Oryzias latipes: one gene and its partners. The protein of the gene in region 4 purifies or fractionates together with the protein of the main gene of each other region. This does not show direct contact. Links are inferred from orthologs where the notes say so. Each region holds a gene or a part of one and is shown on either strand. Other genes may lie near its edges.

Evidence for each region.
Region 1: the proteins of slc39a4 (region 4) and abcb10 purify together in Homo sapiens (affinity purification with mass spectrometry; 3 studies listed by BioGRID and IntAct, counting the BioPlex papers as one, with this or other methods). This does not show direct contact. The link is inferred for Oryzias latipes from reciprocal best matches to the Homo sapiens genes SLC39A4 and ABCB10.
Region 2: the proteins of slc39a4 (region 4) and agpat4 purify together in Homo sapiens (affinity purification with mass spectrometry; 3 studies listed by BioGRID and IntAct, with this or other methods). This does not show direct contact. The link is inferred for Oryzias latipes from reciprocal best matches to the Homo sapiens genes SLC39A4 and AGPAT4.
Region 3: the proteins of slc39a4 (region 4) and vps45 purify together in Homo sapiens (affinity purification with mass spectrometry; 3 studies listed by BioGRID and IntAct, counting the BioPlex papers as one, with this or other methods). This does not show direct contact. The link is inferred for Oryzias latipes from reciprocal best matches to the Homo sapiens genes SLC39A4 and VPS45.
Region 5: the proteins of slc39a4 (region 4) and golm1 purify together in Homo sapiens (affinity purification with mass spectrometry; 3 studies listed by BioGRID and IntAct, counting the BioPlex papers as one, with this or other methods). This does not show direct contact. The link is inferred for Oryzias latipes from reciprocal best matches to the Homo sapiens genes SLC39A4 and GOLM1.
Region 6: the proteins of slc39a4 (region 4) and letmd1 purify together in Homo sapiens (affinity purification with mass spectrometry; 3 studies listed by BioGRID and IntAct, counting the BioPlex papers as one, with this or other methods). This does not show direct contact. The link is inferred for Oryzias latipes from reciprocal best matches to the Homo sapiens genes SLC39A4 and LETMD1.

The regions. Positions count from the first base shown.
Region 1 is NC_019861.2:24,520,858-24,524,956, forward strand, and holds the start of abcb10 (ATP-binding cassette sub-family B member 10, mitochondrial), read right to left. Parts: upstream 2,801-4,099; 5' UTR 2,215-2,800; coding exon 1,797-2,214; intron 551-1,796; coding exon 344-550; intron 1-343.
Region 2 is NC_019873.2:25,316,689-25,320,674, forward strand, and holds the start of agpat4 (1-acyl-sn-glycerol-3-phosphate acyltransferase delta), read right to left. Parts: upstream 2,801-3,986; 5' UTR 2,637-2,800; intron 2,276-2,636; 5' UTR 2,263-2,275; coding exon 2,085-2,262; intron 1,960-2,084; coding exon 1,790-1,959; intron 1,696-1,789; coding exon 1,534-1,695; intron 1,446-1,533; coding exon 1,292-1,445; intron 1,212-1,291; coding exon 1,109-1,211; intron 1,026-1,108; coding exon 950-1,025; intron 858-949; coding exon 659-857; intron 293-658; coding exon 192-292; 3' UTR 163-191; exon of another isoform or gene 82-162; 3' UTR 1-81. UniProt on the Homo sapiens protein: Converts 1-acyl-sn-glycerol-3-phosphate (lysophosphatidic acid or LPA) into 1,2-diacyl-sn-glycerol-3-phosphate (phosphatidic acid or PA) by incorporating an acyl moiety at the sn-2 position of the glycerol backbone.
Region 3 is NC_019869.2:4,532,289-4,536,230, reverse strand, and holds the start of vps45 (vacuolar protein sorting-associated protein 45), read left to right. Parts: upstream 1-1,142; 5' UTR 1,143-1,319; coding exon 1,320-1,412; intron 1,413-1,888; coding exon 1,889-2,023; intron 2,024-2,095; coding exon 2,096-2,156; intron 2,157-2,355; coding exon 2,356-2,435; intron 2,436-3,348; coding exon 3,349-3,417; intron 3,418-3,509; coding exon 3,510-3,647; intron 3,648-3,942. UniProt on the Homo sapiens protein: May play a role in vesicle-mediated protein trafficking from the Golgi stack through the trans-Golgi network.
Region 4 is NC_019869.2:286,592-290,717, forward strand, and holds the start of slc39a4 (zinc transporter ZIP4), read left to right. Parts: upstream 1-1,326; 5' UTR 1,327-1,786; intron 1,787-1,892; exon of another isoform or gene 1,893-1,964; 5' UTR 1,965-2,273; intron 2,274-2,433; 5' UTR 2,434-2,457; coding exon 2,458-2,620; intron 2,621-2,694; coding exon 2,695-2,858; intron 2,859-2,961; coding exon 2,962-3,139; intron 3,140-4,063; coding exon 4,064-4,126. UniProt on the Homo sapiens protein: Selective transporter that mediates the uptake of Zn(2+). Plays an essential role for dietary zinc uptake from small intestine. The Zn(2+) uniporter activity is regulated by zinc availability.
Region 5 is NC_019867.2:11,007,772-11,011,271, reverse strand, and holds part of golm1 (Golgi membrane protein 1), read left to right. Parts: coding exon 1-69; intron 70-196; coding exon 197-251; intron 252-337; coding exon 338-440; intron 441-1,289; coding exon 1,290-1,413; intron 1,414-2,477; coding exon 2,478-2,619; intron 2,620-2,733; coding exon 2,734-2,952; intron 2,953-3,087; coding exon 3,088-3,252; intron 3,253-3,424; coding exon 3,425-3,500.
Region 6 is NC_019865.2:22,147,943-22,152,059, reverse strand, and holds the start of letmd1 (LETM1 domain-containing protein 1), read left to right. Parts: upstream 1-1,317; 5' UTR 1,318-1,343; coding exon 1,344-1,459; intron 1,460-1,725; coding exon 1,726-1,892; intron 1,893-3,169; coding exon 3,170-3,285; intron 3,286-4,117. UniProt on the Homo sapiens protein: Plays an essential role for mitochondrial structure and function, as well as thermogenesis of brown adipocytes.

The DNA of each region.
Region 1 (4,099 bases), on a different chromosome or scaffold from region 4:
ATTTTCAGGAAGTTTCTGCACCTGGGTGATGGCTGACAAAAAGTAACCCAGAAAGTCACTTTCCATAATACCACAGCCTGCTGCGAGGATTTATGCATCTGCAGTTCGAATCTAAAATAAATGTTTAACAGAAAAGATAGAGGGGCTGGTGTTACCCCATTTAAGCGAATCTTGTCTAATCTGACGGAGCAAACTGCCCGACTCTATAAAACTACTTTTAATTTATCAATTACACAGCTTCGATTTTCCATTTTAACCTTTATTTCCTTCGCAACTTGCAGTGATATGAGTAATAAAAGTTCATTTTGCACAGATTAGTGTCAACACTGAGGTTTCTTCTCACCTGAAACCTCCATGAGGTAGACCCTGGCAGCATTGGCTGCTCCGCCACACAGGAAAACTCCCGTCAGCATGATGCAAAGGGATGTGAGGGACGCTGTCATCGTTTCTATGTCGGTTCCAGTGCTGTAAATGGTGTCTATCACTTTGCCAAGAAAGAATGGAGCCGACATGGTCACTGTGCTGGAGACGGTCAGGAAGCCAACAGCAGCTAGGTCAAATCGAATGCAAAGCGAGATCAGAATCACTAAAAAGATACAAGCTCTTTATCAATCTGGATGCGGAGATGGCTTTGGTCATTTAAAAGTGTAATTTACACAATAATAGGCAATAAAAAAGTAAGATACGTTTTAAAAAAAGTTAAATCAGCATTGCAGGGTATTAAAATGGTAGGAATCAGAAACCTAAAAACAGTTTCCTTCTGCTTTTTGAAAAGCAGCAATTCTTATATGTCTGAAACTGAAAAGTGTGTTTATAGCAAACATAAAGTGAAATATCATCAAGGGCTATGCAGGTGATAAACATGGTGATATTTTCTTCTTTAAAGCTTTTGTATATTTAAATCAAGCACAGAAATAAATATTCTGCTTGGCAAACAGAATTTAACTAAAATGTTTACGTGAGAGGTGTAACAATGTATTTTAACTATTCAATTCATTTCATAATTTGTGATTGCTGTTACGATTCATAGTCGATATTGATTCCTTTTGAATGATCCGATTCATTAAGCTAAAATCAATCCAGGACGTCTTTAGCCAAAAATCTGAGCAGTGTGACTCAGAAATCCCTGGTACTGAAAGATAGTCTAGTGTAAACTACATATGTGTACAAACAAACAACTAAACAAGGGTGAATGGCAAATCCATTCACTGTTTAGTTTCCTGAAGTTCAGCCCTCTGTTGTTTTTCCACATCACAATAATCCATATTGGAACATTAATAGAACATTCTAGCACACTGTGTGGTCGCATGTCTTTTCTAAATTCAGTGTTTCCACACATTAGACTGTAAAGATGAACTGATCATGTTTTGCTGTCATCACGTGTGTTGTCTGCTGTGATGGTCGTTTTTACGTTATGGTAAAATAAACCTACCACGTCTCAATCCAGATGGTATTTTTCATTTATAATCAATATTATTACTTCATTTGGACACAATTTCAAATGTTATAGCTCGATTGGATTAACAACTTTCCTCAGACAGATAGATCTGATTGGGTTGTAGGAACAGACTGATTGATTTACCCCTTACAGCCCTATAGATGAAACAGATCAGTGTGACTGTCACACTCTAAAGAGAAAGCAGTGATGCCATCCATGATGACTGGCGGCAAAAAGGATGCAATTGCAATCATAAAGAAAAGAAAAGTACTTTAAAGAAGAATCTGTAATTATGGCCGAAAATAACATCTTGGATGTGCTTTTTATGATCTGCAGCTGGGGGGTCAGAACAGCCCACCTGCCACTCTCCATCTCTCCGGATGAGCGAGTCTTAGGATCCGTTTGACATCCTCCAGAGGGACGCTGGTGGGGGGCTGCCGGGCTTCCTCTGCGTCCGCCCGGTTCTTCTCCACCTCCGCGGATCCCGCCGAGGAGGAGCTGGCGAAGGCAACAGGTGTGTGACGGACTGCTGCCCTTCCCCGGCCTGCCGGGGTGAAGAAGAGGAGCGAGGGACCCGACAGCGGACGGAGGCGCGGGACAGAGGTGAGGGGTCTGCCCCAGGGAGAGAAGACAGGTGCGGGATGGACGGAGGACTTTCTCCGGGGAGCGGCGGGAAGCCTCGGACCATAATCCATCCAAAACCTGGGCTGGGTCGGCTTGAATTTACACAACTGCATCCTGCGCGTGCAGATCGGCACGCGGAGCAAAAGTCGCATGTTTAGAGTTGATTAAATTAAAATAAATAATGATAAAAAAAACTAACAATAAATGATTATATTCCCATCCAGACTCAAAGACCACAAATCCAGTTTGTTGAATTGAAATATCCTCCTAAAGAGACGTGTAGGTCAACTAAACGCATCCCGATGCGTTCAACTGTGAGGTTTGTTGTCGATCATGTCCAGATTTCAGGCGGTTATTGTGCACTTTATCAGTGCGTGACAGCCGCCTTCAACCCCAGTTTATCTGTTATCGGCGAGCAGCTCCCAAACCCCCGCCTGTCCCCGTCAGCTGTCACCCGGAGCAGGGCAGAGGCTCGGCCGGCAGCGAGGGTCACTAAGGCTCAGGCCCACCCCGGAAAACTAACCGAAAAACATCTAGAAGGAGAGGAGAAGACAGGAAGAGAAAAGGTGACCCTGTTTCGGTGTGAGTGAACGGGAGATACGGTCCCTCCACCTCGACGAGGAATTCAACGGCTGATGACATAAGGAAAGATCACCAGGCAAAACCAATCAATCACAGAGTGATCTAAAGTTTTCTGTTTTCCCCAAGTTACCTGATGTAAAATGAATTTTATGCATCATTCTTGTCAACTATAATATAGAATACAAAAAAAACATTATCGTACTATCGGCACCTATAACAACAATAATAATAATAATAATTTATTATTATTATTATTATTATGATAATTATATAACAGCTGATCATCACTGATAATGATAAATAGTTCAAAATTTTGTAACAAAAGAATTGTTGTTATTGTCATATAATTTTAATTGCGTCATATTTGGAGGGAAAATGTATCAGTGGGATGAGCAGCAGAACTATTAATGTGGGTGAAAAATTAGCAGACCCTTCTCCACCAACTCCTGACAGCAGTTTCTGTCATTGGCTTTAACTTGGTGTTTAGTAGACAAGATGATGAAATTTCAAGAATGAAGACCTCAATTTAAGAATTTATTCATCTAACAAAAGGGAGCAATGTGGAAGAAGTATGCAGAGGTGTCCTCACACCAACTTGGCACATCCTCGTGCCAGTCACCAGGATCAGACACTGCTGTCAGTTGGATCCCATTTTTCAACCCATTTTTTTACACTTAACACGAGTGTAAAATGAAGTTGTAAATACTTCTGGAAGGTCGCTTCATCCTTCCCACTCCCAAATTCTGTTAGTTAGTTAATGGTATCTGATAAATCATTCACTATGGGGCAAGCACTAACAACATCCCAATTGCATGTCCCTTATATTTGTGGCATCATTTGTAAGGGAAATAATATGTTTATTAACAGTTTGTTGTAACCAAAATAAATACTTGGCAGTATGGCATATTTTGATAATATAAAAAAGTAAAAAATAGAATAGACATGATCAGAAATACTGACAAAGTAGAAAAAAAAAAAGTAATATCGATGGTTTCGCCTTTTGATTGCTTTTGACTGGCAGGCGGGGTGAAAGTTCATACGGCTGAAAACAGGAGACACGTGCGGAGCAGGAGCACATTTGTGAGTCATATTTATTATAAAAACATTTACTGTAACTATAATAGATCATTTATTTTGTGGCCTGATGAGGTGTGTTTTCAGAAAAACCAAAAAGCAGGTCGTTGGTTTGTTAGAAAGCAACAAAGTAGCTTTCTGTCTGTTAGCGTAAAAACGTGTAGCTCGGTTACGGGTAAGAGACAAACACAAAGGCAAACTTTGAAAGATTTGGACACTGGTTTGTCCACCACTTTTAAACACATTATTGTTTCTAAATGGAATCTTTTGAGTGAAATCATGTATTCTGTGAGTTTTATTTGTAGCTCAACATTTAAGTTACACCTGATGGTTTGTATGCTGAATTCAGAACGCTTGCACAGCCTGTTCTGTCTTAAAGTT
Region 2 (3,986 bases), on a different chromosome or scaffold from region 4:
ATGATGCATTTAACTGTAAAAAGATAGTATTGTAGCTTCTTAAAGAGGGAGTCCATCTTTGCGTCGCTCGATTGAGTTTCCCTTGAACAGTGAAAAGGCTGTTAGGTGTGTTTCAGTCGGATCAGAGGTGAATGGGTGCAGGTCGGAACTTGTTGAGCAGACCTCGTCTTGTCTGACAGCAGTTCACAGGCCTAGCTGCTTCCGTTGGTGTTTGGAGGAACCTCCCTGTTACCATATTTAGAACCTTTTCCGATCTCAGTCTGGCCAATCATCCACCGAACAGCCACCGACGCTGCAAAAACAGAAAGGATGTCCTGTTCATTTAGAAAGAATCAAGTTATTGGGGTTTAATTTCAGGTTTTTCTACTCATTGTGATCCAGGTGAACCTTTTACAGATTTTTAGGAAAAAATCTGGCAAACTTTTAAGCTTTTGAACAGTCATGCCTTTTAAAAAAGAAAAAAAAAGTAGTTATACGTTTGAATCTACATCTCTATTTTGGAAATCTCAAGTCTGGATAGTTTCCAGTTTGTAAAATAGGAAGAAAGAACTTACAGTGAAGACGGCAAATCTGCTGCTTTATTGAAATGTTGGATAAAAATGTATTGATTAAGTCGACCGATTCATGTTCTCAGAAAAAGTGAATTTAGGAAACCGACCTGCTGAGGAGACCACCACAGCGGCGATGATGGTAAGCGCCGATCCAGAGCTGATTACGTGAGTGAGCATGAGGCCCAGAGGGTAGAGAACCACACAGGACCAGAACAACCAGTTCATCAGAGTCCGCAGCTGACGGGGAGGACTCGTTTTAGGGCCAGGGAAGAGTCCCGTCTTTTCATAAGCCCCCTGCAGCTCATCCTGTACACGACACAGCGGAGTGAAATATGTATGGCTGAAAAGAGCTGCTGCCTGCGACTCACTAAAACCTTTCAGTTGGAACACTTTCCCACCTTTTCCTGGTAAAGTTTGTGGAGCCAGGCAGCGCACTCCTTCTCCTCTTCAGGAATCAACTCCAGAGGAATTCTCCTGTGAAGTTAAACAGAGGCAAAACATCAAGAACCTGGAGCTAAATTGGAGCAAAAGTCAAACAATACCAAATATTTGTCTACCGAACGTATAAATCTGCATGATACTTCTTCCCATTGAGGACTCCAAGCATGGTTGGCGTTTCGTTGTCCCTGAAGTTCAGGGTGGAGTCATAAACAGCGGAGACTGCTCAGGACAGGCAAACAGAAGGGGTTAGCAGCTTTCGGGGGAACTGGATCCAGACTGAAGGTAGAAGGGATGCTCACCAGTTCCCCTAAGGTTTTGGACCGTCATCCAGAACCCCTTTGTTCTGGGCAGAAGATGGTACTTAAGTTTAGGTAAGCCTTTACTCTCAGCCACTTGCATGCTGGCCTGGTGTTTCTCTGGTGTGAAGCGTGTTCCCTCACAGAACAGCAGAAACTAGTTTAAAGAAATATATAAGAAACTTTTTATACATATCACTTTTATTGATAAAAAAAAAAACTACAAAGGGAGGCGAAAAACCCACCCAGTAGTTTTCTGGGTAATCCCGCAGATTCTGAAGACTCTGAGCCACCAACCTCCGGTCCTCTTCCCACTTCCTCTTGCAGAAAACTATCTCCAGGAAGTACCACATCCAGCCAATCACCGGCACATATGCCAGCTCCTGTTTGGCCAAAACCTTTGAGCTCTGAAAAGTATCAAGAAAAAACAAAAACAAGAAGGGTGGGTTAAGTGGTGTTTAAGTCGGCGAAGATCATTTCCTCATCTTTGTGCCATCTCACTCCCAGAACTCCAAAGCGTTCACAGAAGGTCCAGCCACACAGAAAGTCGATCTCAAAATTATGGTTGAGAAGAACAATCGCGTTCTCCTTTCCATACAGAGGATAGCTTTTTGGGTCGGTGTAAAGTGTGCATTCCGTGCCAGACCACCACTCCAGGACTGCAACTACCTCTGCGACACACAAATGCATTTTCATGAGAATTGTCACGTTGGTTATCTTATCATCTGGAAGGACAGATTCGGACAAAAAAAAGAGGACAGAATGTACTAGGATAAAAGAGACAGGGAGTACTCACGACTGGCGATGCAGTAGCCCAGCCGGATGTTGATCCTGCGAGCCAGCTGCTTGCTGACCAACCCCACGGGTAAAGTGCACACCTGAAGCAGGTTGATGAGGAGGCCGCTCACCAGAAACACATAGCCGATGATCAGGTGGCAGATGAACAGGGATTTCAGCGTGGACAGCAGCCCCATCCTCCAGGAAAGCCTAAAAAACACTACATTTACTCTAAAAGTAAACATGATTTTCTTGTTTACATACCAACTGTTGTGGGTCATCCTGGTATTTACTTGTCTAAAAAAAAATCCCTGACAAGTCTTTCTTGTTTGAATAAATGAAAGAAGCCTTTGAGCTGGGAGTCTGTAGTTACAGAGCTCTCCAAAGACCCATCCAGGCCAGAATACAGCTGAACATCAGTAAGAACCTTCTAGTGGTGTCATCCAGTGGTGTCAAACTGGACTCAAAAGTCAAATAATTCACTTTAATTTATTTTTATAGCACGTTTATGACAGTTGTACTTGACATTCAAATTTTAAGCAAACCATTGATATAAAACATGAAATATTACCGTTTCGGATGAGCAGCTATTCTTTCTCTGACGTTTTTAGACTCTCTCTGCACAGATTAATTCTATAAAAGAAACTTCCCCGCTTCGTCCTTTAGATTTTAGGTGTGATTCATTAAACGGTAAGAAGGTTCACCTCCTAGAAGAAACTTCCCGATGAGGAGCACCACGCCCTTCTACGAAGATCGTCTATTCATCTCAGGCTGTCCGCAGAGCGCCGCTCCCAAACCAAGTTACTGATGCCATCTGCTCGTTACATTTACAACAAATACATTAGTCACTAATATAAATGAGGGAAACCATAATAAAAATTAAAAAGGATAAAATAATATAATATGATTGGGGTTTGTCTTTTGCCGTAAAACGCGACAGAGTGAGTCAGCTTTCCACAATTAGCATTCTCTGTTTTACCCATGTTCAGCTGCAGGAAATGTTCATCTTTTGCAAGCTCAATGACTTTATCGCACTTATGAAACAAGATGTGAATCACGTATAAACTATAAAGGTAGAAAACAATTTAAATCTACAGGAAGAAATGCTATTAATTCAGTGTTTAGATCTAGTATTGTATGTCCTAAAACAAAGAAGTGGCTTCAAGTTTAGAAGGTTTTATTTGAAAATGTCATTTCTAACAACAACTTTTGATCTTAATGATCTATTATGCATGTTTACAACATTGGGTAAAATGTTTTGGTTAAAATATACCTCTTGGGATTTTGCCATTTTTTAATTCAAGTAGAATAAGTTGCACTTAATGTTTTACTTGCTGCTGCTGACATGTCAGAGGTGCATTTTTTTTAAATGCAATTATTATTATTATTTTTTTTATGTTCTGTGAACTTCTAATTTAGAGGCAAAAGAATAGAAGATAAGTTGAACGTGCAGAAAGTAGATAAAAAAAGGTGAGAAGACTGAAAAAAGATGGCTGCCCTTTGGCCGTGTGACCCAATGCAAAAAAACATTCTTTAGATTTTGACTTTAGACTACTTTATTAAAAAAAATTGAGATATTGAGCTTAACTTTGGCTATTATGTCTCACTAGGCTTGTTACAGCATAATTACTTTACTTTACTTTTATTATTTTTTACTTTAAGCATTATTTTGAATGAAAATCCAGTAAAATAAAAAATAAAAATGCAAATAAAGTAGAAAAGATTTTAAAGCAAGGTTATGCTTTATTATTCTTAAAATGACTGAAAACATGTCAATACGAATGAGTTGTGCTGTTTGCTATGTTTTTCTTCAGTCTAAGTTGGATTCTTGGAACATTAGAATTGAACTAAAAACATTTTAACTACAGCTTGAAGAACTGATAGAGAACAAGAAGAGTAGAAAAAAATCTCACAATGAATA
Region 3 (3,942 bases), about 4.2 Mb from region 4:
AATGTGATCATAATATACTGACATTTATAGATATCTATTCCTCCGTTTTAAATAGTAGTATTTAAATTTGAGAGACGTATATGTTTATTTAGCAAGCAAAATCTATAAATATACAGGTTTATTTAGGTTTCTTCAGCAGACAATGGTGATCAGTCAAACTAACCATAAATACAAGAATGTGACATTGTTGTGGTTTTAACATTTGTGCTTTAAGTAAAAACATTTTTTGATTATACATTTAGTGTACTTATTAAGAGTTTTTGTCGTGTTGTTGCAGAAACCCACACCTTAAGTCCTATCAGTTTAGGAAAAATAATAGTTATTAAACTAATAACACATGCAAATGTTAATATTTCATTGTTAACATTTTTAGGCTACGTTTAAAATAGTATTTTGAAGAAATCTATTTCATGTTTCTATCTTGTTGTACTTTATTTTGGAATCTGGACAGTATTAGCATCATGCTAACAATTGTGAGCCTTTTGTTTTCAACTAATATTTAGTCAGTGGTAATGTCTATTGGCAAAATATATGCTAGATTTAGTCATTTTTACTAGAAAGAAAAAAATCAATGTGTGTTACTTATGGATCAAACAACAGATGACTTTTTACTTTAATTTGCTATTTACGTTTTTGGCCTTCATTTATAGTTGATACTATATGAATTGATTTTTTTGGTAGGATTTAAGCCAATGTATGTCCATATTATAACATCTATTGCTTTAAAACCTGCCTTTAATTAGATATTTACAAAGTAGGCTCACTTTGTTGGCAAAAGGAAGCTGAGAGACAGGATCAGAGGAGGATAAAGGATTATGGAAAAGCTAAGGTTTATGGATGTAACTTAGTAAAGACCATAAAGGCAGTTAGTGTAAGTGAAAAACATCTGAAAACATCAGCAATCCATTGAAAGAAAACAAGAAAATTTAATTGTATGTTTATTTAATTGAAAACCTTAAAGCTTTAAATGATTTAAATGTTGCCAAAATTCCAAGTTTTAATGTAAAAAAAAAAACCCGCACATGTTAAATTAATTCTTCCACGAAAAACGAAGAAATGAGGAAAAAACACCATCGTTAACATTTTAAAACAAGTCCCAGAAGAACTGCTCGGTTCGTCCCTCCCACTTTACAACGCACGACGTGATGACGTCACCAAACCAGGAAAAGACTTTCAGTGTTGTCACAACAGCTCAGTCCTCCTCATAGCACCCCAGAAAATCCCTCAAACGGAGCGACACAGACTCTTGGAGGCTGCTGCTGTTTTTTTTCTTCCTGGTTGATTCGTTTTCACGGTTGTTGTGCGTCAGCGAGGCCATCATGAACGTGACGCTCGCGGTGAAGCAGTACATCTCGAAAATGATCGAGAGCAGCGGGCCCGGAATGAAGGTGCTGCTCATGGACAAAGAGACGGTGGGACAATCAATGACACTTTTACTCCTGTCGTTCTGTCATATTATACTGTTGCCTCACGTGACTATTGTCCTCCTGCTTCCTGTGAGATGTTGTCACTCCTTTGTTTCACTTGGTATTTGTTCTCTTATGCTAACACAGGAGTTAGTGTACAGTTTTAATGATAAACTTAAACAAAAGTAAATAAATGTAAACGTTAATGGCTTTGTTTTTCAAATGAGTCATGTTTGTAAATAAGAGCATTCCAGATCCAGACCGCAGCATCCTCTCCATGCTGAAATTCCCTCCAGTCAGGCACCGGACGGTCAACAGCTGACCATACTGGAGATGAAAACAAGATTTAACAGCAACTGGAACCACATAAAAGCCACATATTTAGCTCTGTTGCTCGTCTCACTAAATGCATATTTCTTTTTATTTTTATTTTTTGGCTATGACATGCAGTTTGAACTGAATCTACCCGTGTTGTGTGTCAGACCAGTATAGTCAGTGTGGTGTACACGCAGTCCGAGATCCTGCAGAAGGAAGTTTACTTGTTCGAGCGGATCGACTCTCAGAGCAGAGACAGCATGAAGCACCTGAAGGCCATTTGCTTCCTCCGTCCCACTAAGGTACAAAACCAGCAGACAGTTTGTTGTTTTTTGTGGAAAGTGTCTTAACGTTCTGTCCTGTTCTGTGTGCAGGAGAACGTTCAGCATCTAATCCAGGAGCTGAGGAGGCCCAAATACAGCATCTACTTCATCTGTGTGTTAAATGTTTATCTGTTGAGAGTTCAGGCAGTCAGTTATTTTCTTTTGCTTCCAGAATAAAAAAAAAATATTAAAGCAAAAAACTCAAAATAACTAAAAATGACTTGACGCAAGAAACAAATGATTAAAAAAGATTAGATGTATGCAAAATGAAATAAGACTCCTCACTAAGCTCCTATTTTCTTGTGTTTCAGACTTCAGTAACGTGATCAGTAAGAGTGAGATCAAAGTTCTGGCTGAGGCGGATGAACAGGAGGTGGTGGCTGAGGTCCAGGTGAGCGTCGGCTCCTACTTGGTGTTTTAAATCTTCAATTTATTGGACATATTTCTCCCCTCATTACAATCCATCTGTACGTTTCAATAACTGGAAATAACCCTTTATTTGGTGTCTTAGCTGTTATTGACTGTGTAACAAAAGTAACTATTAAGTGGCAACAAATCCTTTTAAAGACCTACTCTGATGAAAATCATGTTTGTGGTGCTTTAATCACGTTCTTGTTGCATTTTTCTGATGACGGAGGACACAAATTAAGAAAATTAAGATTAAAATGGCATTTTTTAAGTATTTCTTTAGTCTAATTGTTGTGAATCGGGAGCAAAAGAAAGAAAAAGATCATAAATGCTACTTAGAAAACACGCTGGGCGAGCCACATACACAAACTAATGGTCAAATAATTCCATGTATGTCTTCATTTTTCTTGTCCGAGCTGGAAACTCCAAACGGTACGGCTGAATAGCTCCGATATCGCTCGCCGTTGTTGCTACAGTGTTAAACTGGGGTGTGAGGGGCTGTAAGCTAGCAGGACAACATGTAAACAGGTGGATGATGGCTCCGCCCACAACTCGGAGGCGAATTTCACCACAGGAAACACTTTTGAAATGCATGAGAACCAGAGTGGGACTTTAAAAGATTAGAATACCACAGTTACTACATCAAATTGCCCGTAAAAAAAACTTCTGTTCTATAACAAACACCAGAAATGATGACAGTCTGGAACAACATCAGTGGATGCATTAATACGCTTCTAACTCATTTGTTTATCATAAACACACTTGGAACAATCTTATTTTTTTTTACATCAAAGTTTTTATAAAAATTCTGCATCTCAGTGTTTTAGGTTGTATTTCTGCAGCTCAGAAAGAATCTTAAAGTTCAGATCCAGGAAGATCTTTTTGTGTTTTTCCAGGAGTTTTATGGAGATTTCATCGCTGTGAACCCTCACCTGTTCTCCCTCAACCTGCAGGGAGTCGCTAGAGTAAGCTTTCCTTTTTTTAGCTGCTTGGCCTCACATGACAGATTTGGTTTGCTAAATGAGGATAAAAGTGCATCTCTTTGTTCGTTCGTCAGGGGCGGAGCTGGGAACCCTCCATGTTGAGTCGCTGCACTCAGGGTCTGACATCCGTTCTTCTGGCTCTGAAGAAATGTCCAATGATCCGCTACCAGCTGTCCTCAGACATGTCCAAACGCCTCGCGGAAAGTGTCAAGGTTTACAGAGAAATGACAGCCCATTACCCCACATTCTCACCAAAATGACATTATAATCGGAAGTTTTCAAATCATTTTTAGAAAGAAGTCTTAAAAAGCGGAACTTTAGCCTTCATACTTTGCTGTTTTTCACTAGTAATTGTTCAATAAAGGAAAAATTCAATACTTAAATATTTATAAAAAAAGTACTTTGGATTGTTCTTCATTTAAATAATGTTAAAAAATAAAATTTATAAATAAAAAAAGTTGATTTAGTTTTAGTTTGATGATTCTCTAAGCAGCAACAGTTTGTCAC
Region 4 (4,126 bases):
CAGGCCTTTTCACAATAAAAGCCTGGCTATTCCTCCTTTACTTTGAAAGTCTGCTGGTTTCAGATGTGCAGCAGAGCTGTTGGCTGCAGGTCACCTTTTTCAGGGCAGACAGGTATGGAGGAGCACGAGCCACGTCTCAGCCAATCACAGGCCAGAGTGTGGAGACCGCAGAGGTTCCTCACAGTGATATAAGTGAAGCTGAGATAAATGCCCGCACTGCATTCCTCTCCACCTTCATCACTGATGAGCTCCAGCATGTTCTCCTTAAGCAGGCTGCTCGTGACGGTTCTGTGTTCGGGCCCGGTTCTGCTCGGTTCCGTCGGGGCCACCCCCGCGGTGGAGGGCGCGTACGAGGCCGTGGTCCGCGTGCTGGCCCCGGGACAGCAGCATCTGACGGAGCGCTCCGTCCGCGCGCTCTTTAAGGCGCTGCAGGCGCGTGTGCAGTGCGGCGGAGTGCCGTGTGGAAAGGTAGGTTTTATTGATGCCCGCGAGCCCAGGTGCAGCCAGGTGAGGCCAAGCACGGCCAGAGTCAGGCTGCCGAACCGAGCTGTTATCGGAACCGAACAAAAGAGGTTTAGGACTTAGTGGTGTTTGGTTCTTCCTGCAGTCAGAGAACTTAGATCGTTCTGGTTCATGAAGGTCCTTTAGAAAAGAATCCAAACTCTTTTAGTTCTGATGATCCAGAGCCGTCAGTCAGTCAGTCAGTCAGTCAGTCCAGCTGCTCTTGTAGTTTTTAAATGTTTATCTTTACTAAAACTGTCAGCCAGTTGAACTCAGAAAGTTGACAGATTTGAACCAAAAGAGGTTCTGAACGTTTTTCCTTCTGTTATCAGGAGTCACAGTTAACAGAGTCTTTTTTCTGAGGACTGGATGTGAATCTTTTCATTTTTCCTGAAATAATATAAACCAAATCCATGGCTGGAATGATGGATTATGAATTATGAAATGAGATGTTTTATTAGGCTCTGGTCTTTTCTGCCCCTCCACTCTACAAAAAAGCTGGAAATAAAAAAAACTCCTTCCTCTGAATATGTTTAAATCCAGGCTGATGGAGGACAAAGTCACCCGTTTTACATGAGCTCTCATTTTGATTTATTTAAGTTTGAAATGTTTACATTTTTACTGTAAATGTAACGTATTGTTTTAGCCAGGACTCGCGTGAAAAAGAGATTCTTCATCTCAGTGGGACATTTCCTCTAAAGAAAGGTTAAATAAAATACAAATAAAAAAGATCTCATTTCAGCGTTGTCATGGTGACCACACAGGCATCATGGGGCTTCGTCTAGAAAACTCTGCAGACGTCATCAGAAAAGCCATTTGGTTTGTGGGACGCGGTTATGCAACCCTCATCTTATCAGTAGGAGCAAAGTTCCTGAGCTTCTTCAGAACTGCAGAACCGACAAAAAGCTGCTGCAGGGCAGCAAAGGAAGAAAGGAGTGAGAATGACTTCAGCTGGACAGTGAAGGAATGCGATGAAAGAATTCCTCTACGGGTCGCGGCGTGCTGCTCGGGTCAGACGGGCCGTCGCTCCAAAGCCTCCATGAAATCCTCTCAGTTCTTCCTTCAGAGGACAGAAGAACCAAAACCTTCCAGGAGTTTCCTCCACGGAACGCTTCAGAGCAATAAAACAAACCCCAGAGAGCCGTTCCTCAACAGAAATGAAACAATAAAGGAAAGTTTCTGTTCTAAAACCAGGAAAATGTCGGAATTCCTTGGAAGAGATCAAAGAAATCAGTTGGAATGATTTAGTGAAACATTTTGTTCTACATTTGTAGATAATCTCCAGGTCAGCAGAGATGTTTTCAGGGTTTTATCGTTGTGTTTTCTTTCCCTCCGTTCTTTTCTTATCTGCCTTTATGGTGAAATCTTTCTGTCCAGTTAAATGAACAGAAACGTTTTTCATATGTGTTCAGACCTCCTCACTCTGGACGTTTCTTGACGTTCTGTCTGTGGCTGTTGTTCAGTGTGATCTGGACGGCGCCGTTCACCAGCTCGTCGGCAACAGCTCCGCCCACACGCTGGAGGAAGGCGGGAAGAGCGGCAGAACCTTCACGGTCGGCGCGTCTCAGTTTCCCGCTCTGGCAGCCGGCAGCGTCCTCTTCCTGTCCTCTCCTGACCTGGTCTGCGCCGCGGCGAAGGACGGGAGGTGGGCGGAGGAGACCGAGCGTTTTCTGCACACGTACACGCTGGGCGACCACGGTGACATCAGCATTTATGCTCTGGAGGATCTGCTGCAGGAGCTGCAGAGTCACTATGAAGCTGCTGAGAATCAGGTAGAACACAGAGATGATGCAAACGCTGATTCCAGCAGCTCAGGTTCTGTTCTGAAGGTCCGATCATTCCTGAGGACAGAGGACGCGGGCGGAGAAACCGTCACACTAAGTGGAAGCTGCATTCACCTGTTTGATCCTTCTGTGTCACCATGGTAACCAGAGCTGTGCAACAGCCAGCAGCATCATGCAGGAAGCTGAGGCGTCGCCGGAAGTGGGCGTGGTCCTGGGCCGCGTGCTGACCCACGCTCTGCTAGGACACTGCTTCAGCGCTCATCCTCTGCCTGAGGAGAGCTTCTTCCTGGACTTCATCATGGATCACGTGGGCTCAGAGAACTTTACCGTTGAAGGTAAGGATAGTTGAAACCGGTCACTTATTACATCATCACACGCGTGTCCTTCTGAACATGCTTCCCTCCTGCAGCTCTGGAGAATCTCATGATGGTGCTGAACATTGGATCAGGAGAAGATCATGAGCATGCATTCATGCTTGATGACCATGAGAGCCACCATCATCATCATCATGAACAGAAAGGTCGGAGGAAGAGGAGCAGTGAAAAGCATGAAGCCAACGCCACCTGGGAGCATGTAGGTACCTGGACCAAACACGGGACTGAAGGCTGCCGGACTCTGTCTGAAGATCTTTGGGTTCCGTTTGAGTTCATCCATACTTTCTCTTTTCCCGTCTCAGCGCTGTTTCTCTGCTGGGGAACTGCTTCAGATCCACGGTCTGACTGGCTCCGCCCACTCCGGAATGGGTCGGTCTGAGGTGGTCCGCCTCAGTCCTGCTTTCATCCAGCAGATCCTCAGTGGAGCGTGTGCAGAGGCGACCGAACCGGAAACACAAGACGGACTCACAGAGGCTGAGAGTGAGTCTGTTACCATGACGACAGAGGGGGTTCCACTTACCGATGAGTCATTGGTTCTGTAAGAACCACAAGATTTGGGGAACTTGGATGTTCTTTTTTACCAAATGTTTCTGTCAAAGACCCTCAGAACGGTTTAGGGTTGGTTGTTGGTTTGATTCCCTGAATCAATGAACCATGATTCCCTTATGGCTATAAACTTCGGATGAACTCATTGAATCCTTGAATCCTTGAATCCATTAATCCTTGACTCCATGAATCCATGACTCTTTAAATCCACGACTCCATGAATCCATGAATCCTTAAATCCTTGAATCCTTAAATCCATCACTCCATGAATCCATGACTCGTTGAATCCATGAACCCTTCAGCCTTCAGAACCCTAATGTTACTTTTTTTCTGGGTTTTTCTTTAAAACACTTTGGAACTCTAACATCCTGCTGGTCTCTTACAAGCCACAAATCAAAAGCTTTTATTATTCTTTAGAAAATCAAAGTAAAAAATTCCTGTCAATATAACAGTACTCTCAGATAACTTTTAGGGATCAATAAAACGATTGAAAAGACTTAAAGCAAACATCCCAATATTTCAAGTTCTCTTGCTTTAGTTTAATAAACGGAGGTGAAGCAGAAGATTGTGAGATAGATGCTACATAATTCTCCATTCAGTGACATTTCTTTAGTCCAGTCTAACAGAGACTTGATGATCGTATTGATTATTTACATGTTTGTAATAAATCCAATCTCATCTACTGACACTCAACTCTTAAAGCTACCAGACAAACACATTCAGGCTGGTTTTTTACCTTTATTTAGTTGTTGTGTCCTCCACCATGAACAGGGTCAGTGTGCACGTGTCAGATGAGGTTTTCCTTTGCGTCTAGAGAGTTTGATTTACCCATCATGCTTTGCCCTTTCCTTCTTGCAGGATACCTCTATGCCACTGTGGCCAACGTGGTGATAACGCTGGTGTCCATGCTCGGCATCGTTC
Region 5 (3,500 bases), on a different chromosome or scaffold from region 4:
ATTGCTCAAATCGAAAACTTTTACAAGAAGAAGCTGGAGGGAGTTCAGACCACCTGCAGCCAAGAGCAGGTGAACACCAGCATCATTCTGAGCTGAAACTGAGAATTCTAGGGCTTCGGAAAATGTTTGGAATCCGAGCAACAATAGGATCCTGAACTGTCAAACTGCTGTAATGTCGCTCCATCGTGTCTTTTAGGCCACAATGCAGCAGAATGTTTCCTTCAGTACCAGAACCATAGAGGACCTCAAAGGTAACTTTGAAACCACTTTTTTCTTGTCTCATTCTTTGTTTCCTATTTTAACATACTATCCCACCTTGTTTTTTCCTGTCCTATAGTTCAACTGAATCAGTTAAATGATGACTTGGGGAAGGTCCAGAAGGAGTTGCAAAACTGCAAAGACAACGTTGAAACACTGGACAAAAAACTCACATTTGACATGTAAGCCGAAGAAATATTACGCGGAAGGCCTTTTCCATGTATTTTATTTTTACTTCATATGGTTCAGTCTGACAACATTCATACTCTCTGCAAACAGACACAATGAAAATGCTGCAGGAACTTGTTTAGTTATGTAGATAATCATTACTTGTATTCACCGAAATGGAAAGTAGATGTGTTTGGCCTCCAGAACACTATGTCTACACAATCTCCTGCTGCGTTCGCTCACACAGTAAAGCTTGCAATTGAATTTCCAGAACAAAAGACCCCTGTACTCCGCCCGCCTGTTTCATAAATGTCCCAAACGTCTGACAGACAGGATGGAGACTTGAATGGATCTTAACTTTATTTCAGGGGAAAAGTAGTTTTCTGGCACAAATTTTAGACACGAGACATTTTCCATCTGAAAGAGAAAAATACTTAAGAAAAATAAAAATAAAACACAGAGTAAAACACACGTACTACCACAGACCTGATTTCCTGTTTTCTGATTTCCTGTCTTCATAATTTAGGTCGTGCTATTTGTAAAACTCGAACGTTTTTTTCATCAAACTGTGTAGAGATGTTCATCAATGTTATTCAAGGTGTAGATTTTTATTAATTTTTAATATTTTATTTTAAAAAATGTTAATTCTATGCTTTACAAAATAAAAAGCGGTCATGATTATTTAAGTTAAGAGACTTTTTAAATTTTAAAAACATGCAGTTTTTTTGTTTAATATTTTGGGGTTCGTTTTCTCCAGAAAAACTGCCTCATTGTTTCTCTCTTTTGCTAGTAGTTGCTTAAGCCTTTACACCCTTTCACACTTCAGTCCAGGTGAACACAGGTGTGTGGGTTCATGTCTGCAGGGCTCACTGTCAGTCCCAGGTCCTTTCTCAGAAAGAGCTGTGCGACGACCGAGTGGCCAAGGCGACGCTTGAAGTCCAGAAGAGGATGGAGAAGCTCATCTCACCTGAAGCGGGCATCTCACCGGTGAGTTGGTTTACATGAGTAACATTGTAAGACTGCATCTCCTCATGACTTCAAATAGATTTTCTGTTGAGCCTCAGAATAAAGTTAGCCCAAAATGCTCGTTCAAAAATTGGGTTGAAGTCTCTTAGCTGAAAAAAGCTTTAAGCTGTGCTGCTTAGATATGGGGAATTTCTCAGAATGTGTTTTGTCATAAGATTTTAAAAAGTTGCAGAAATTAGAATCAAACATAAACTCAGATAAAATCCCTTAACTTTTTTTTTTTTTTTTAAGCATAGTTTGGTAGCAATTTTACAACACGTTTAATGCCAATTAATAAACTACCGTATTTTCCGGACTATAAGTCGCACCGGAGTATAAGTCGCACCAGCCCAAAAATGCATTATAAAGTAGAAAAAAACACAGATAAGTCGCACTGGACTATAAGTCGCATTTTAACTTTCACAACCTTATATGACACAATCATAGCAGACTGTTTATCTCATAATTTCACAGTAATTTTTTTCTCAAACTTATTTATTTATTCTTTTCATGAAGCATCATTGGCTAACTAATACTCTGTTTTCATCCTGTATTTGTAGAAACAGTTTTCACTTTTATTGCATTTCCGAATCTATGAAATCATTGGAAAATAGAATATTATGTTGTTAGCCTTCAAGATCTTACTGTAAAAAAAAGTTTGCTGATTCTCTGAGTCACTTAACATACTCTTAACACTTAACATACCTCATACATCAAATTGACCCAGGAACATCATCTCTGTTCCTCACAAATGAACATAACAGGAGGGTTAACAATGTATTTATTTCAATTTATTTCTAATATAAGTCGCTGCGGAGTATAAGTCGCACCCCTTGCCAAGCTATGAAAAAAAGGGCGACTTATAGTCCGGAAAATACGGTAATGCTTTTCTTTTGTGCATCTCAAAAGTTGGTGCATTTTTTAAAGATTTTAACTTCTGTACATTAGGTGATACCCCATCCTTCAGCAAGGATTTTTGCAGATTTTCTTACTTGTTTTGTCTTTTGAATTTAAAGGAAATACATTTTATTTTCCTTGCAATGCAGGAAAACAAAGTTAAAGAAGAACTGCAAGAAAACTCAACTGTTGTATTGGTGCCAGAAGCTGAAAGCCACACTTCTATCATCTCTCAGCCCAAACTCAATGCAACTTTGGAGCTCCAAACCAATGAAATTATCACCGACAGAGGTATACAAGGGAGAATACTTTCAATTTGTTGTATACTTGTCTTAATGCACTCAATGCAGTTTAGCGTGAAGTTTGAAATGTCACCATTTTTTTCCCCACCTTTTTGTTTTTTAGGCTCTGATGCCTCACTAAGCAGACAGCAGGACAAGAACCTCCTGACAGCGCCTTTACAGTCTGTTCCGCCTGCTGCTGGACTCAATGAAGTAGAGCTGTCAAAAAATGAAGACCTCACAAAGGACAAGGCCGAGGCAGATGAGGTTAAACCTGTAAGCCTGTCTGACAATAATAAAATGGAGGTGATGAACATTCATGACGAGGAAGCCCAGATTGAAGGTATAAAACTCCCGGGATGAAGAAAAACATCAATTAAGGTTTCTTTAAACTAATGCTCCCATAGTGTTAGGTGTCAGATTTACTTTTATCTACATTGCTGGACAGTTCCAACAAAATGCAAATTTTGCTTCTTAGAAGTCGACCCAGGGCTGGAAAACATGCTGATTAGTCAGGAGAAGGCAGAGGATCGTCCGGTTGGTCAGAGGCCTGAGGAACAAGACGAGTATGACGCAGAGGAGCAAGAAGTGGATGGAGTGGATATGGAGAAAGAAAACCAGAGTATGCTGACTGAAAACCTTGGTATGTGTTTGTTTCTCAATTTACATTTTTAAAAAAAGCAAACAAGAGCACAACTGCAGCTTAAACCCCTTACTTTGTAATACAGTTGGAAGACACTCTGAGGAAAAGGATGTATTTGTTGAAAGCGTGAACGTTTGTCTCATGCTTGTTGACACTTTTCACTTTTTGTTAGACAAAGACATGGACGAAGATCCGGCCGACTACAACGGAGACGATGAAAACGAGGGAGAGTTTGAAGCAGACAAACA
Region 6 (4,117 bases), on a different chromosome or scaffold from region 4:
AGTTTGCTCATAAGGAGTGGACCAAAATACCTGTGGACAGGTGCAGAAGGCTCATTAACAAATACAGAAACCGTTTAATTGCAGCGATTGCCTCAAAAGGTTGTGCAACAAAATATTAAGTTATGGGTACCATCATTTTTGTCCAGCCCTATTTCATTAGTTTTTTTTAATAATTCTGTTAATCAACAACTCAAAAGTAATGGCTGATTTTGATTATTTAATTTTCAATAAATTTTAATTTGTTTAGTTTTGACCGTTTCAAGTCATTTCAGTGAGCATTGAGGACTTTTGTTCTTTAACTGAGGGGTACCAACATTTTTGTCCACCACTGCAGGGTTTTGTTGCAATCTCACTTTGAAACAGTGAACAGATGCTTTGATTATTTTTTCCAGCTGAAAAACATATTTTTCCAAACCACAATTCTGTAAATATATGGGAGGAGAACATGGAGTATTTGAAGGAGAACTGCTACACAGAAGTCTAACGCCACTTGGGATGGCTCCATTAACCAATGCAAACTCTGTAGGTGAGACATGCAGATTAGAAACTCAACGTATGACATCATTACCTTGTGGATTAATCAGTTGTGTACAATAGAAATGTTCTTTTCAAATCAATTTTCAAGAATAAATATTCTTGTTTTTGTGTAGAATATCTGCGTTATTCCACATATAGTATATATTCAGAATAATTCAAACCCAACTTTATTTGTAGAGCACCTTTCATTTCGGTTGAAAACACAAAGCGCCCAAAATAAAAGCAAATAAAGTCATAAAAAGTGAAAATTAATTAAAACAGAAAACACAGGACAATCACACACAGATGGGACACCTCTCTCACCAGATTCCTCCCTCTACCCACCCAGTCCCCCCAGTAGAACCCTGGAAAAAAAGTAAGAACTGCAGGTTAAAGAGACAGTCTGGCTTGGCACTGCTGTGCAGAAACGAGATCATGGGGATCCATATGTTCCAAGGACCAGGCCGACCACGCGCCCGCCCAACACAGAGCAGCCTAGGGCCCATCACTCTACAGCTATTAGACCGCAGAACAGGACCCCAGCCGGCTCAATGAGTGAGCGCCGCAGCAACAGCACCCCCTACAGGCGGAGCCGGTAGTTCCTCCTGAAAGATGGATCCACAAGAGGAAACACTGGAGTAATAAAAACGTCAGCACATAAATTATAATAAAATAACAATATTAAAAATAAAGAACAATATTGGGTTAATAATTTCTGAGAGTAGTCCCTCCCACACACACGTCTGTGATCAAATTTTTTGACAAGGGTCGAAAGTGAGTTTTCTCCGAGGACGCCGTGAACGCAGCAGTGACGCTGAGCTGCAGACATGGCGCTGTCCTGTTTGAGGATGTGCCGCCTCCTGTCACCGGTTCGACTGTGTTGTGTCGGTACCAGCAGTTCGACACCTAGCTTTTATCTCTCCAGTCTATCGCATCAGTCCAGGTAATGGTCGTAAAGAACACAATTGTCAACATTTTTACGATTTAGCTTAACTGAATTCGTTTAGCATGTGCTAAGCTAGCTGTTTTATTTTGAAAACGTGTGACCGCACATAACGACCTTTCCAAAACAAAATTAACCTTTTTTGTATTTGTTATAATTAAACTTCAACTATCAGTGGACTCCTCGGCACAGAGACATTACAGTGTTTTACTTGTCATTTGAGTATTTCGTGGTGTTTTATATGAAAGTGTTCCTCTTTCTGTCAGGTCTCCTCTGTGTTACACAGTGTGTAGACACTACACCTCATCCAAAGTTAGACGGGGTCTTGGACGTTTTATTTCTTCCAAGCTCCAGACAGCCAACATAAAATATGAGAGTTTCCTCAAAAGGAGGTTTCCCAGATTCTTTCTGCTGTATCACACTTTCATGGAAGGTAAGTTCCCTCTAGTCACCTCTGAAGTCATTTCTATAGATTTATGATCACATTTGACGACAGAAGACGTCCAACTTTAGATTAGTTTTCCTTTGTTTTATCATTGTTTTCTTAATATATATCTTGTTTTATTATTTATTGAAGGCACATTCTTGTTCAAGAACACAATGTTCAAACTCGTGGTTTCATATAGGGAGCTGCTCACTGGCTTGTAACTACCTGAGGCAGCTTCATTGAAGCAATTAGAGTTTCAGGTCTTGCTCAATGGCAAGGCAGTGGGGGAGACTTCTGAGCATTTGTCCCACATAGGAACTTAAACCACTTCAGTGAAAATCGTGCTTTTGGTGTTTCAAACATGTTCTTGTGGCAGTTCTATCTCAGACATTTAAGCTCAAAATCGCATTTCTGAGTGTTTCTTAATTCAAATCGATGTGAATCAGGAGCAGATGTAAAAATGCCGTTTGGAAAAGCAATGATGTTGAAGTTACAGTCGGCAGGCCACAAGCTTCCTGCTCCGCTCCATTCTGATGCATCCACTTGCAGACAAATAGATCGATGGACGTCTTTGTTTTCCCCGTCTGAGCTGACATTTGGCTCCAAACTGTACGACTATATAGCTCCGGTATTGCTCACCATTTTTATTGCACTGCTAATGTTAGGTTGGGGTCGTAAGGGGGTGTAAGCTAGCAGGATAGAGTATAAACAATGGGACAGAGGGATATCAGCAGAGGCTTACTTTTGTGCCAACAATCCCTCCCACAGTCCACCCACAAAGTTTCTGATGAACTACTGCCGCTCTGCGGAAACTGTCCTAGAAAACGACTTGTCTCCTCTTCAACAAGACCACCAGGAACACTTTTATAATAGATCAAAAGATGATTGAACTTTAAACTATCAACCTCTAGGAAGCAAGACCACGAAAGAACACACATGAAGGGCATTTCCCCCCAGAACTATGTTTGAAAAAAATCTGTGGGCTCGCTTTTACTTCCTAGAAATGTGTCCTAAATTGGCACTTGGTTCAAATCCCAGCTGCGACCTTTTTTATGAAGGTTGCATGTTCTCTCCATACATGCCTGGGTTCTCTTTGGGCACTCCAGCTTCCTACCACAGTCCAAAAACATGTTTTATAGGTTAATTGGTGACTTTGTATGAATGTGAGTGTGTGTGATTGTAGTTGTGTTAAGTTTTGTTGCATTTGTTTTTAGCAGCTTGCTTATAAGGTTTGCAAAAAATTTTGTGTTTATTAAAAATTTTTTATTGCTATCCTCCATTAGGCTTCAAAATGTTGTTCCATGATGCCAAAGAGGTGAAGAGGATAAAAATGAAAATGCTTTATGAAGGTGTAAAGCATCAGGACTTGCCCTACAGGGAGATGGAGAAACTAAGACAGGTGAGTCCTTTTTTCCTAAAACACTTTCAAGGAGTTCATCAGAAATGTGCCTGTATTATTAGATTGGGGCCGTGAGGGGCTGAAAGCTAGTGGGGGGAACATAAAAACAGATGGATGACGGGAAAAGGAGGCGGAGTGTCAACAGTCCCACTTACAATTTAGAGGACAATTTCTAATAAACTCCTGCCGCTCTGCAGAAACTATGTCCTAGAAAACGTTTTTTGATCCGGGCTAAAAACGAGAATCATAATTAAACGACCACTGGGAACGCTTTTACCATATCAAGTTCCTCGCTTATAGAAAACTCAATCCAGGCATAATTATCATCAACATCTTTCCAGTCATTGGCTGAATCTTTTATTTACAATTTGTGTTCATGTAAAATAGAAACAGAAACTGTCACCTTGAAACAAACGTACCAACCACTTAAATAAGCCATGTTGGCCAGCCTGCGCTCACAAAGACAAATTAAATCCTGTTCTGGAGAGTCATAGATTTATGTCAGGACTGAATCTAGCACATTTTCATCCAAACAAATGCCGGACGTCTTTCAAAAATGAGCCTGTTCTCTGTGACGATCAGCCGATGAGAATAAATTGTTGGACATGACAAAACTTGTAGACCGTCTCCTGGCGTCACCTGACAGATTTGAGTGGAAAGTTTCTACACCAAAGGCTTTGATGTAGAAACACAACAACTTAGCTAACTTTAATTCACCTTTCCTCTGAACTCAAATGTGTTAGTGTAAATCACGCAACATCACTTCTGGGATATTTATTTTTTAAAGCTGAGGGTTTTAAAAGCTTAGGCTGTTAGATTTGCGCTTGGAGAG